Linked DNA regions of Bombyx mori. The protein of the gene in region 3 purifies or fractionates together with the protein of the main gene of each other region. This does not show direct contact. Links are inferred from orthologs where the notes say so. Each region holds a gene or a part of one and is shown on either strand. Other genes may lie near its edges.

What was found.
Region 1: the proteins of Rpa2 (region 3) and DNA topoisomerase 3-alpha purify together in Homo sapiens (affinity purification with mass spectrometry; 4 studies listed by BioGRID and IntAct, with this or other methods). This does not show direct contact. The link is inferred for Bombyx mori from reciprocal best matches to the Homo sapiens genes RPA2 and TOP3A.
Region 2: the proteins of Rpa2 (region 3) and serine/threonine-protein kinase ATR purify together in Homo sapiens (affinity purification with western blotting; 3 studies listed by BioGRID, with this or other methods). This does not show direct contact. The link is inferred for Bombyx mori from reciprocal best matches to the Homo sapiens genes RPA2 and ATR.

Annotation. Positions count from the first base shown.
Region 1 is NC_085123.1:10,687,888-10,692,047, reverse strand, and holds the start of DNA topoisomerase 3-alpha, read right to left. Parts: upstream 2,810-4,160; 5' UTR 2,510-2,809; coding exon 2,336-2,509; intron 2,046-2,335; coding exon 1,836-2,045; intron 262-1,835; coding exon 9-261; intron 1-8. Other genes in the region: ras-related protein Rab-40C, read left to right, coding at 4,045-4,156. UniProt on the Homo sapiens protein: Releases the supercoiling and torsional tension of DNA introduced during the DNA replication and transcription by transiently cleaving and rejoining one strand of the DNA duplex.
Region 2 is NC_085123.1:9,983,790-9,988,015, reverse strand, and holds the start of serine/threonine-protein kinase ATR, read left to right. Parts: upstream 1-1,417; 5' UTR 1,418-1,709; coding exon 1,710-1,846; intron 1,847-1,940; coding exon 1,941-2,066; intron 2,067-2,459; coding exon 2,460-3,864; intron 3,865-3,939; coding exon 3,940-4,226. UniProt on the Homo sapiens protein: Serine/threonine protein kinase which activates checkpoint signaling upon genotoxic stresses such as ionizing radiation (IR), ultraviolet light (UV), or DNA replication stalling, thereby acting as a DNA damage sensor.
Region 3 is NC_085114.1:7,172,498-7,176,787, forward strand, and holds the start of Rpa2 (replication protein A2), read left to right. Parts: upstream 1-1,474; 5' UTR 1,475-1,610; intron 1,611-2,245; 5' UTR 2,246-2,413; coding exon 2,414-2,423; intron 2,424-2,495; coding exon 2,496-2,566; intron 2,567-2,637; coding exon 2,638-2,859; intron 2,860-3,112; coding exon 3,113-3,298; intron 3,299-3,882; coding exon 3,883-4,088; intron 4,089-4,290. UniProt on the Homo sapiens protein: As part of the heterotrimeric replication protein A complex (RPA/RP-A), binds and stabilizes single-stranded DNA intermediates that form during DNA replication or upon DNA stress.

The DNA.
Region 1 (4,160 bases), on a different chromosome or scaffold from region 3:
ATGCCTACCTATCCTTAAATCAAGTTCTTGTCTGACATCTACTGCATTACTAGTATTCTTGTTTGGTTCTTCTAAGTTTTGTAAAGCTCTATTTACTGAAACTAATGTGATCTCTGAAAATTTTGCTCTATATATTTTCAAATTTGTCCTGGCAGCTTTACAAACATCAATAATCTCAAAACCTATGTTCTCTCCTTCTCTGTCACAATCCGTCCATATTATGAGGCCTTGACAGCTTCGAACTTCTCGCTCTAAGGTCATCTGTGAAGTGATAGTCAAATATTATTGTTGCTAGAATTGATCGTTCCATTAGAAAATGTTAAACATCAGTATATTGTTGAACTATTCTATATTTATAAGAAACTGAATAATTTTAAATCAAATATCTTTTTTATTTTTTATTGCTTAGATGTTTGGACGAACTCACAGCCCACCTGGTGTAAAGTGGTTGCTGGAGCCCATAGACATCTACAACGTAAATGCGCTACCCATCTTGAGATATAAGTTCTAAGATCTCAGTATAGTTACAACGGCTGCCCCACCCTTCAAACCGAAACGCATTACTGCTTCACGGCAGAAATAGGCAGGGTGGTGGTACCTACCCGCGCGGACTCACAAGAGGTCCTACCACCAGTAAAAAATCTTGAACTATTGATTATTAATAGACATATATGAGGGAAGCACCTCAAAGCTACACTTAATTAAATGAAACCCCTTTGTGCCCTAAGTATCAATCAAATCAGATATTTGAGCTTGTCTGAAGTGCATCAGATGTATACTTGCTCCGAGGTCGCCTTTAGCTATGATATTGTGCTTGTCTTCACTAGTTTTTATTCAATTATAAACATAAAATAACTGAGAACAAAAATAGTCATCTGGTCCCATACTAGGATTGCCTGTAGTATGGACAGAAGGCTAATATACATACTTATATATGAGTCGACTATTATCAAAGCCGGCAATCTGACTTTTGGATAATTATTGGTAAATCAGAAAAAAGAATTATTGACTTTGTATTCCATTGGCAGTCACGAAACTCTTCGGAACGACATCTTAGATAAATAACAGGTTAACTATTAACCTTTATTTAATGCGGGTTTTGAACCGTATTCTTTGAAGGAGACAATATTCAAATCAATCTGTATTGACATATCAATAACATTTTTTTTTCCAAATGCACAGATTGCCACCTTTGATAATAGACGACTCATATGTATGTTTAAATATAGAGATAATATTAATCATGTTACAAATGTTTGCCTCGTGTGGAAATTGAACCATTGACCCTCCGCCCAGCCATCAGGGCTACTAGCTACTGCACCATTAAGGCAATCAATCACTAACACTTCAAGATACATTTTCTGTTGTGTTACAGATTTTTTCAAAATAATATTCATAATACTAATACTCATCAGTAGTTACTAAGCTAAATAAAATAAAAACAGCTGACAAACTCAGGAGAAAATGTAGTTATTTGTTTTTTCTTTGCCTTTTAGATGTAAATAATATACAAGTAAGTACAGTAAAAACTCCTCATTTAATTTTGTGCTTGCTTATTTGCATATTCACTAGTTGCGGATTAATAAAATTAATAAAACACGGTTCCTACATTTGCAGCTAAAGACTTCTCCTTTTGCAGATCTAATTAGTACATCTGTACATACACATTGATAAAAGGGATTCCATAAGGTAGGTATACAAGTGAATGTCCTTTTTAAATATGCTTTTCCATATTCACGGTTTCTGTATTTGCAGCGTATTTACATAATAAATACCCCGCAAATAAAGAGCTTTTACTGTAATTGAAAACATTACTTTAGGAAGACAAAGCTCACCTTAATTTTTTGGTAATTCTCTGGGCAGTATTTGAAAACAGGTGCATCAAACAGTGATAGTGGGCTACAGGTTTGCCAGGTTCTGTATGTTCCACTAAATTCTAGGGCTAAGAGATGTCCTGATACTGAGGTCATCACCATTTCACAATCTTGCCCCATTACGTTGGCTTTAAATTGATATATTTTGTTGTACTTTGATAGTCCTTTACGCTAAAAAAAAACGAAAGGATTTAGCCTACGGTATAGCCTAGGGATGACAAACAGGGAAACTAAAATAGACAAAATAGTCCATAGGTTTGTAGAAATCAGTTCAGATTTTTGGTTGGGTCCCTTACAGATTATTTCACTTCTAGGGATCATCTATAAAAGATAAACCTGGCCGATGGCAACCGGCAGCCTGTCAAGTCTCCTTAGGAGTGGTAAATAATATATAGCACATAATTTGTGAGTACGACAGCTTAGCAAGAGCAACCAAAAGATAGCACGAAGTGCACACATACCCCAGTTGATGTTCCTTTGGATAGATGTGATGCAATATTTTTAGCTGCATCATTTTTCTCTGCTACATTTAAATATTTCATAGTAGAATATTTGTTTACAAATATCTGTTTGTTTACTAAAAAACAAAGTGTTCTATTCAATCTGCTATTTAGCTTTTCAAGGCATTGTAACATATTTTTTATAAACGTTATATTATTTTCATAACAGAGAGATAGAATCTTGATATTGAACCTATAAATGTGTATGCCTGCAGCAGAGAAAATTACTCTGAATATTCTGGGAATGTTACAGTAAAATTTATATCCCCGTAATATTAAATTTAAACTACATATCTGTTTAACCTATGTTTAAATTAGTGTTTAATTATAATCACTTAAATTAATAAACAAACATATTTGAAATAAACATCCCACAATTTATCAAATATTATGCGTCAATTGTCAAGTGTACCGTACCTCCATACGTACCTCTAATAAAGATATCTATGCCACATAGATCATAGAAAATACCAAAGAGTATATAATCACTTGTTCATGTCTGGGAGACCGCATGATGGGTCCGAAGAAGCTCATAATACGTTTCCGGCAGATGGAAGAGAGCTTTTTTCGGATGTTTAGCTGCCTTAAAATGGACTCGTTTGTTCTCATGGCAGTCCACGGTATTCGTAGCATCCTCCGCCATACCCACATTTCAAAGGCATCTATCTTTTTGATATCCCGTGATATTAAGAATTAAGTGTTATAAGTTTGACATAGATTTTCCTTTTCGCGATAGGGTATTAGGTTGCAATAATTTCATTTTTCAACAAGAAAGGGGAGGACATCATACCAAAATGCTTTTTCTTTAAATTTTCTGCTAAATAAAAAATTATATGAAACGATACATTATACGGGAAACGTGAGGTCAAGTTGATTTATTTGAGATTTTAATCAATTGGGATGAAATGAAATCAAACGTGAAGAGATGGAGTGGAAGTCTCAGTAAAATGGTTGTTTTTTATTGAGATTTCAGAGAATTTTTTAGAAAACTCCGAGTAGACACTTCTTATACTCCCCTACAGATACGATTCACTACTTCTTCAGTAAATCACCATTACTGAAGAAACACTAAATTAATGAAACAGTTCACATAATTTCACTCCTCGCGTGGGACATGAGCTCGTTGATCCATCCACGCAAAAAAAACGCGAAATCTTCCCTCTACATTTCATTAATTTTATTTATTTTTAATCTGTATGACTACGACGTCTATGATCTAGAAGTTGAAGCAAAAATGAACAAAAGTTCGCAAATTGTGTTCAGTGTCGTTTATTTTGTTCCCATTCGGATTGTTTTTCGATCTTAAAATGTTAACAAACTTACTTACAAGCATAATTGAGTATGACTTTAATATTCAGTGACAGTGTTTGTAGGTGTTTCTGACGGACATGTTTGTTTTTAACTCTTAAAATGTTAAAATTAGCGACCTTGTAGCTGTGAACGTATGTTATTTTGGTTGGCAGATCGAAGAAAAGTATGTATTATTATCGTTCGTTGGCTATTAGAACTTGTTTTGAATACTGTCAAAATAAATGACCTGTTTCTAAGTGGAATATAATCAATAAAAGCTACATAAAATTACAAGAACACTGACATTTCATCAATATTATGTGCACATATGCGCTTGATAAACATCACCTGGGGATTAGGCGAGCGTTATTGTTTACACAATGACGATGTTTCCTGCTTCTGGATCTGCTGCGGTGCCGCAGCAAACAATAAATGGGCAAGTAGTGCAAAACGGCAGCACGACTTTGCCTCGCTCCCATCACCAGAGAACAGGTGG
Region 2 (4,226 bases), on a different chromosome or scaffold from region 3:
GCTTTATATTATTAGTTAGATTTGTGAGTAGGTCATAGAGAACGAAATGATCAGCTACATTAAATGAGTCGACTATTATCAAAGCCGGCAATGTGACTTTTGGACAATTATTGGTAAATCAGAAAAACGAATTATTGACTTTGTATTCCATTGGCAGTCATAAAACTCTTCTGAACGACATCTTAGATAAATAACAGGTTAAGTATTAACCTTTATTTAACGCAGGTTTTGAATCGTATTCTTTGAAGGAGACGATTATATTCAAATCAATCTGTATCGCCATATCAATAACATTTTTTTGTCCAAATACACAGATTGCCACCTTTGATAATAGACGACTCAAATATGATAAAAATGATAATGATTACGTGTTGCTGTTCAACTTGAATTGAAAAATGTATAATTATACGATTTTTTTACAGATTTAAAAATAATGACTTGTAGGAATTGTAACTACTAACATAATCTTAGTACGCAGGTGAGCATACGGCTCGCCTGTTTTAAAGATTGTTATTGGTGCTGCCTATATTTTGATAAAATACCGTTGTTGGAGTAGAGTGCATAAATTATATCTGGAATCACTAATTCATAGTAGATTTTCAGAGATCAATTTTGTAACGTCTGGATCTGCGATCTGGATAAGCGTCCCGCTTCAGTATTAATCAAGTTCTGTGATAAATCTTTTTTAAATCGTGCATAAAAAGACTTCACAGCAGCAGGTAGCAAGTTAGCATGTCTCTAGCATTACTGATGTCCAGTGATTTAATTAGTTTAAACAATATTTAAAATTTTGTGTTTAGATGTGTTCAACCATTCGTTAATTAAGTATTTCACAATTGATTGACTGAATTTAAATTATTAGTAATTTATTTATGGGTGCGTTCTATCTGAAACAGATATTCGTTACATATATTTTCGATTCATTAAAAAAACAAAATATGTGCAATTCACACGTGGTAGAAGTGAAACCTTCCAAAATTAAAATACAATTATCCTAAACGTCTTAAGTATATGTAAAATTTTGTCATTAGTAAATAATTGTAAGGTAGCGCTCTCTGTGAATTAATATGTTAATTTCACGTATAATCCTAAATTAAAATTCACTACAAGAGCTTTCATACACACGTTAGTATTAAAAAATCTCACAGATGGCGCTGTATTAAATAGTATGTATATTTCTGTCTCATTCTTTGCTGGCTTCATCCTACACATTTTTGTATTTGTGTCTCTTACCTGTCGTTTTTTCCGTTGCATCCGGTTTGAAATCAAACCGATTCTAAAGAAGTTTTCACTTCAATATTAGTTGTATCATAAAATGGAATCTGAATAAGTGATTTGAGATCCCCATTCAAGTCTGTCCGTCAGTTACATCCGTAATAGACAATACACTTATTTTGGAGTCTGTATAGTGAATACACCTATATTAAGCAGAAAAGAACTTTGTAAAGGTTTGAGTTAAAATAATACTTGATCTAAAGGTCTTAGTTACCAGGTCACAAAATCTCATAAAAAAGGTGTACGTTTGAAATATTTTGAAATATTTTCAAACCTGTGTATATAACAAACTTGGAAGTGCAGTTTTTATTAAAAACTTCAAACAGAGATTATCAACAAACTAGAAAACGAATAGGAATTCCGCGTGAATTGCGGAGATTAAGTTATTACAAACTAATTTAGGATATCGTTCCAAAAAGGTTATTAAAATAGAAATGGAAGATGACTACCAGGATGGACCATTCACAGTGTGGCAAAAGCTTAATGAACCTACTGTGGTTTTATTTAATAATCTAGAACATGCTGTAGATGGGCTGGACCGATTAATAACATCAATTTTAAAATTTTCTGGGTAAACTATTAAGTTTTTGTTATTTGAACAAACACGCTATATTTAAGCTGATTATTTGCCTAAAGATTAATTGCAATATCAATTTGTTCTACAGAGATTTTTCAGAGGATTTAGTTCCAAGAGTTGGTTACGAAAAATACCCTGAAGTCTACTATAGTGCATTTAATACATGGTTAATTGGAAGGCTATTTTACATTTGGTCAGAGGAATACCTTCTTAGGTTTGTGCATTTCGTAAAATATTTAAATTTAGTGATTTTCATTAAAAAAAATTAAACCTTATCCACAGTTTAGTCACCCTCAGCAATCTCACGGCCCCAAGGTTTGAAAGGTGTTCTAAGTGCTAGACAGTAGATTGATTAGCTGTGCACCCATTGTAACCTTTATTCAAAAGCAAAAGTAACCACTTCTGTGCTGTAATGGGACTTTCGACATGTCTTATTGCTAGTTCTCCATTCAGGATCTAAAGGGAAAATTGTGTTCGAAATTAAGATGTTGATAAATTATATGGATGGATATTATGTTGTAGTGGTTATTGCTCAATTTAGCTTGAGTCACAGCTTTAGTGATAGCAAGATAGGATTGTGCCTTGCAGTAATGGTTTCTTTTTACAGAATACACACAGCAAGTAAAGATGCTCAGTTAAAAATATTGAACATATTATGTATTGGTAATGCATCATTTTACAGTACGATCCAATCAGAATACATATCGGCATTAAATACACTTGTAAAATATTATGAAGATTCATATTTAAATAGCAATATAGAAATAACATTACCACACTTTGCTCCAGAAAAAGTGGAAATCCCATTTGTGCAAATAAATTTGGATCCCATATTTGTCAAAGTAAAAAATTTGAAAACATGTAAACATTTGATAAATTTAATACTACAGCTTCTATCAGACAATTTACCCATAAATTCTATGAAAAACTCTATAAACAACTTTCAATATAAAAGTGTACTCAAACAGGGTTTATATATTTTAGAAAATTTCAGTGTAGATCTGAAATTAAATTCTTTAAATTTTTTTTCTAATTTAGTTAAGAATTATAAGACTGTTGGCATTGCCAAATTTCAATATATTTTTGCTGACGAATTCAGAGAAGTGCTAAATTGTCTAGAAGCTATTGTTCACTCCTTAGAAAATTTCTATGAGCAAGGTGAAATAGACAATATCTACATTAAAGATATAAATAAAGTAATAGGTGAACTCATAAGAGATTCTGCTCAGCATTTAAATGAAGAACATAAAAGTGTTGTATCGAGTATCTGTATAGTAATGTTGAAGACAAAGAGATCAGATATATTCAGCCATGAACTAAAACTACAGTGTTTGGCACTAAGTCACAAATTGAATTATCCTAAAGATATTATTAACGTCGAGAGTATGGTTGCAAAAGAAATAGATGCCGTTTCTATTTACTACTCTAAAAATATCATAAAGCATGTTAATAATACTAAAGCAGTGGATCTAAATGAGAATTGGTTTTTTAATCAATTAATAATGGTTGTTAAAACATTACAATCATGTGAAGAAACAAATACCGATAGCTTTATCATAAACCATCATTTGGAGCGATGTTTCTCTTCTTTAAGTATATTACAAAATGGACTTCTAAAGAGCGACAGAAGAGCTGCATTTCAAAGTCAGACACAATATACTACAACTACATTAAAATCTCTGCTAAAGCTTATAAAATTGCACAAAGCTGTTCTATTAGATGATAAAAAAAGTCTCGTAATATTTCTAAATATAATACTTAGTGTAGTTGTACTTAACTCGAATTTAACAACTACAGAAGGTAGTAAGATTCTACAATTGTTGTGTTTACAAAACAATGTACAATTTAGTGAAAAGGATTTAAGGTTTGATAACAGCATAAAGATTGTGATTTTGAAATATTTACTGATTATAAAACTTATTCTGAAAACAAAATGCACTGAAACCTGGAACATAATAATAAACTTTTTAACAGAAACAATTTTTAAGGAGAAAATGAATTTTAAAAGTGAAGTAAGTGTGCCATTTGAAATATTCACGATTCTTAAAAATATTACAACTTAAGATTTAATTTAATATATTTTTTAGGTTATTGAACTATGTCCCTTGTTACAATTAAACAAAACATATTCAGCAAGTAGATTAATTGGAGATGTTTTAATGCCATGTTTCCTAAGTAAGGATCACCACATACAGGCACAAGTTTGTCACACTTTACCAGCGATAGCATGCTCGTCATTGGGTTTATATTCCGCTATTCTTGATACCTATGAAAATAATATAGGACATCAGATATTTTTAAATAGTGCTGTAAATATATCTGTGCTATGTTCAAAATGTCATCGAAAAAATATAAGTAAGGAAATGAATAAACC
Region 3 (4,290 bases):
AACCATACTGAGACCTTAGAACTCTTAACTAAAGTTGGGTGGCGGCATTTACGTTATAAAAGTCTATAGGCTCCGGTAACCACTAAACACTAGGTGGGCTATGAGCTCGTCCACCCAAATACGCAATAAAAAAAATGTTAAAAAAAACTTTCAGGTGAGGCTTTTTTTCCTACCTAAGCTGATAGTCTTGAGAGGCTATTTCAGCATAACCCTAACAAGTAGGTGAGCTCACGGGGCTCAAACATAATGACGTTGCTAACACTAACCCTGGCAAGAGCAGTGCGCAAGCAGCGGATTCGACGGAGAACGATGACCGGCAGGTGAGCCCTAAGTTTATTTGCCACTCAATAAATCTTAATCATAATTTGGTATTTTTCAATGTTCATCTTAGAGAGTCTTAAATGAATTATAGTGCCACCTATTTAAATTATAATAATAATGGTAATGGCTGGGTAATGTCTAAATATCTTGTTTTAATCCATATTTTTATGATTCTCATTTTATCATCTGCAGAACTCATTAACAAAGCCAAACAAAGCCTTTGGCCTTAATAGAAAGTAAGTAAGGTCAGTGGATATTATTCTTAGGGACATTAGTTAAAATAGTGGTGTATCTTATCTAAGATATGCCGATGATACAACAATCCTTGCAGCCAGCGAGTCCGAGATGGCTGCGATCTTGGAGCGAATAGAGAGAGTTAGCCTTGAATTTGGCCTGCACATAAACCGCTCTAAGACCAAAGCGATGACGGTGGACAGAGCTCAAGTTTTAAGTCCATCAAATGCGCTCAAGGATTATGAGAAAGTGGAGGAATTTATATACTTGGGGTCGCTGATCTCTAACAGTGGTAACTGCGAGAAAGAAATCGGACGCCGTATCGGGATGGCTAAAAGTGCCATGACTAGCCTCAATAAAATCTGGAAAGACCGTAATATTCGCCGAGTAACTAAGATGCGTTTGGTTCGTACGTTGGTCTTCTCTATCTTCCTGTATGGGGTGGAGACTTGGTGTCTCAGGAAAAAGGAACGCAAAAAGATCGAGGCCTTTGAAATGTATTGCTGGAGAAAGCTGCTACGCATTCCTTGGACAGCTATGAGAACCAATGTCTCCATCCTCGAAGAGCTGAAGGTCACCAAGCGCCTGCTGACTATGTGCCAGGAATGGATCCGGAGTTTTTTTGGGCACATAATGCGATCCTCATTGCACAGCCTGGAGAAACTCATAATTCTCGGACAAATAGAGGGAAAGCGCGCTAGAGGAAGAGCGCCAGCTAGATGGGTGGACCAACTCAAGGAGGTGACTGGAGGCCAGATACAGGGAGCGGCACATATGGCGCCTTTACACTCTCAGACAATATCACTTGTACTTGTAATGTTACTTGTAATTGAATATGTTAGATAGTGAATTAAAGAATATTTAATATTTATTATATTCTCGGCTAGATTCCCTTCGCCTATCCACTAAACAAATTCAAAAAAATCTATAAAATGGCGGGAATTAATTGAGACTTCTGTCTGGCCAAACTCCAAAGGGACATTTTGGTTAAAACTGTTAAAAGTTACTGAAACAAAATAAATCATCATCTTTTGGAAGATAAAATATGTGAACCTATAGTCGGATTTTTTATTAGACGAAGTCAACTGACGTTTACTGTGTTGTCAGTTTTTGATGAAATAAAAATAGTGTTGTGACAAAGTGAACGATTGAAAAAACTCCTGAATTAATGAAATTGCCTCGATTGTCTAGTGAACAGTTGGTGTGCCGAATTGCCGATATCGGGTACGGGGTTCGAATTTTAGGCGTGCTTTGTACATACCAACGAGTTTTCGACGAAATATTATGTTCCTATAATATCTACCTGTACTGAATACCGAGTGTTTTAAACATTAAGAAAAACATTGCGAGGAAGTACTTGTAAGACTGTCCTATTTCCAATACATCATATAGTTGAAATTATAGATGTATAAAATATAACAATTATAGGTAAGTAATGAAAATAAAAAAGCTGATTGTAGTTACATACTACTAGCAACATATATTGGAGCACTTTAATACAATTTTATTGTAAAATATAAATAGTACTCTTTTATAGTTTGAAATTAATGATTAACTCTTCACACTCATTGTTCATTCGTGATTGAACGAGAACTGAACGCATCACTATTACTTTAAATATAGCAACATTATTTCACAAAGTGACATTAGCTACTGTCAGCTAGCTTCGTCTAATTAAAAATCCGACTATAGTGGCTTACTCGCTTGAAAAAAGTTTACAGGAATAAGAATCAAAACTAAAAAAATTAAACCATACTACCTTTTCTATTAAGATCGGTTCGGAATTGTTTAGTGCATTGTACTACTGCTGTTACTAGAATAGTCTTCAACTAACAATTTTGACCTCTACTTTAAAACAATGTGGAATGGTTTGTTGTTTTATCATTTACATGGTTATCTTTATAGTTTTTTCTGTATTAATTAGAATTTGTTACATTCAGATGATCCTTCTGGAGGTGGCTTCCTTAACACCACAAATCAATTTGGAAATACGGCAACACCCAAAAAAACTGTAAGTTTACAAAAAAATAAAATTCAATTGATTACGAAAATTTAATATATTAATAATACATTTATTCACAGGGTCGTAGAGCGGCACGGACAGCACCTATAGTCATCAGGCAAGCTTTGCATTCTGGAGAAGAAGGTGTGAAAATATGGGGTACAGAAATTCAAATAGTGTCAATAGTTGCAAGAATCAGGAGCATTAGAATGCAAAGCACTAAAATAACATATACAATCCAAGATATAACAGGGAGGATGAGGGCTGTACTCTGGCTCGACCAAGAGGCTATGGAAGTTGAAGTAAGTGAAAGTTACTTCCAGTTTCAGAGTAATGTCAATGTAAACGAAATCATTAATTAAAATGAGTTAATCCATTAATCATGTCCACAATCATGGTAATAAAAAAAATAAAAAAATCTCAAAGTCAGATTAAGTTATTAAACTTATTCTGTGCTTTTTGAATATTTAAGTATATGCCATTTTGATTCTTTAGATATTGAGTATTTTACATAAAAAAAAACAGATATTAAATCTTTCTGAGCTTCAATTTCAGGATACCTCATCACCTAAAGTTCAAGTAAATGATTACATACAAATTTACGGCAATGTGAAAACGAATAAAGGGACAAAAGTGCTCATGGCATTTAAGATAATGCCAGTTACTGATGTCAACATTATTACATTTCACTACTTTCAGTGCATTCATAATAAAATACAAATGGAAGCTGGCTCAAAGAAGGTAATTCTAATATACCTGGTAATCTTAAAATTTATTATTCGCATTTCCATTCACCATAGCTAAAGGCAGAAGTAACTACTTATAACACAATATTTTGAGGGGTTAAAGACTATTTGGTTTAAGCAACATTTAGCTTAATACACATGAATTTTGTATTTGAAATATTTAGTTCTTGTATGTAACAAAAAGAGTTGATAATAATTGTCAGATATTTTTATTACAGTACAGTACATAAAAATATGTCATAGTATAGTATTATTTGTTATTGATTCTTCAGCAATGTAAATGATGTCTTCTTCATCAGCAATGACTTACCATTTCAATTTTCATATAAAATGAATTTCAGCACATCCAACATGCTTCTCCTTTTTTTCAGTTTTATTTTAAAATAATAATCTACTATTTTCAAACTTGAACCCTTTATTCTGATAAAGACAGAACTACAAATTTAGTTATCATTCAGCTCTTGCTAGTGCATTTGAGTTGCATCATTGCTGTGGATTATTATGTCCCATCATGAATGGTGCTTCCGCCTACATGTTTTTTGCTATACATTACTTCATAAATTGGATTTTATTTTGCAGGAAAAAAATATTCAAGATGTCCCAATTAACAACATGCTGCCTGCAAATTCAATGGTTGGAATTACTGAAACCTCTTCAGTGAATGGCTTAAATTCTCGTCAGATGATGGTCTTCAACCTTATCCGTGGCTCTACTGTTGAACAAGGAATTAGTAAACAAGATATGTATGCCTCACTGAAAGATCGAATGACAAAAGTTGAATTTGAGTATGTATTTTTTAATCAACATACTAAATTTTAATTCAAACATTTTTACCCCAATAAATTATAACTGATAACTGATAGTAAATGATAACTTAAAAATAGAGTTGAAAGGAAAAAAATAAAGCAGTTAGATTTTAAATAAATCATCACAATCAGCCCCTTTTCTTAGGAGTTTAGTGACAAACACACATACAAAAAGATTAAA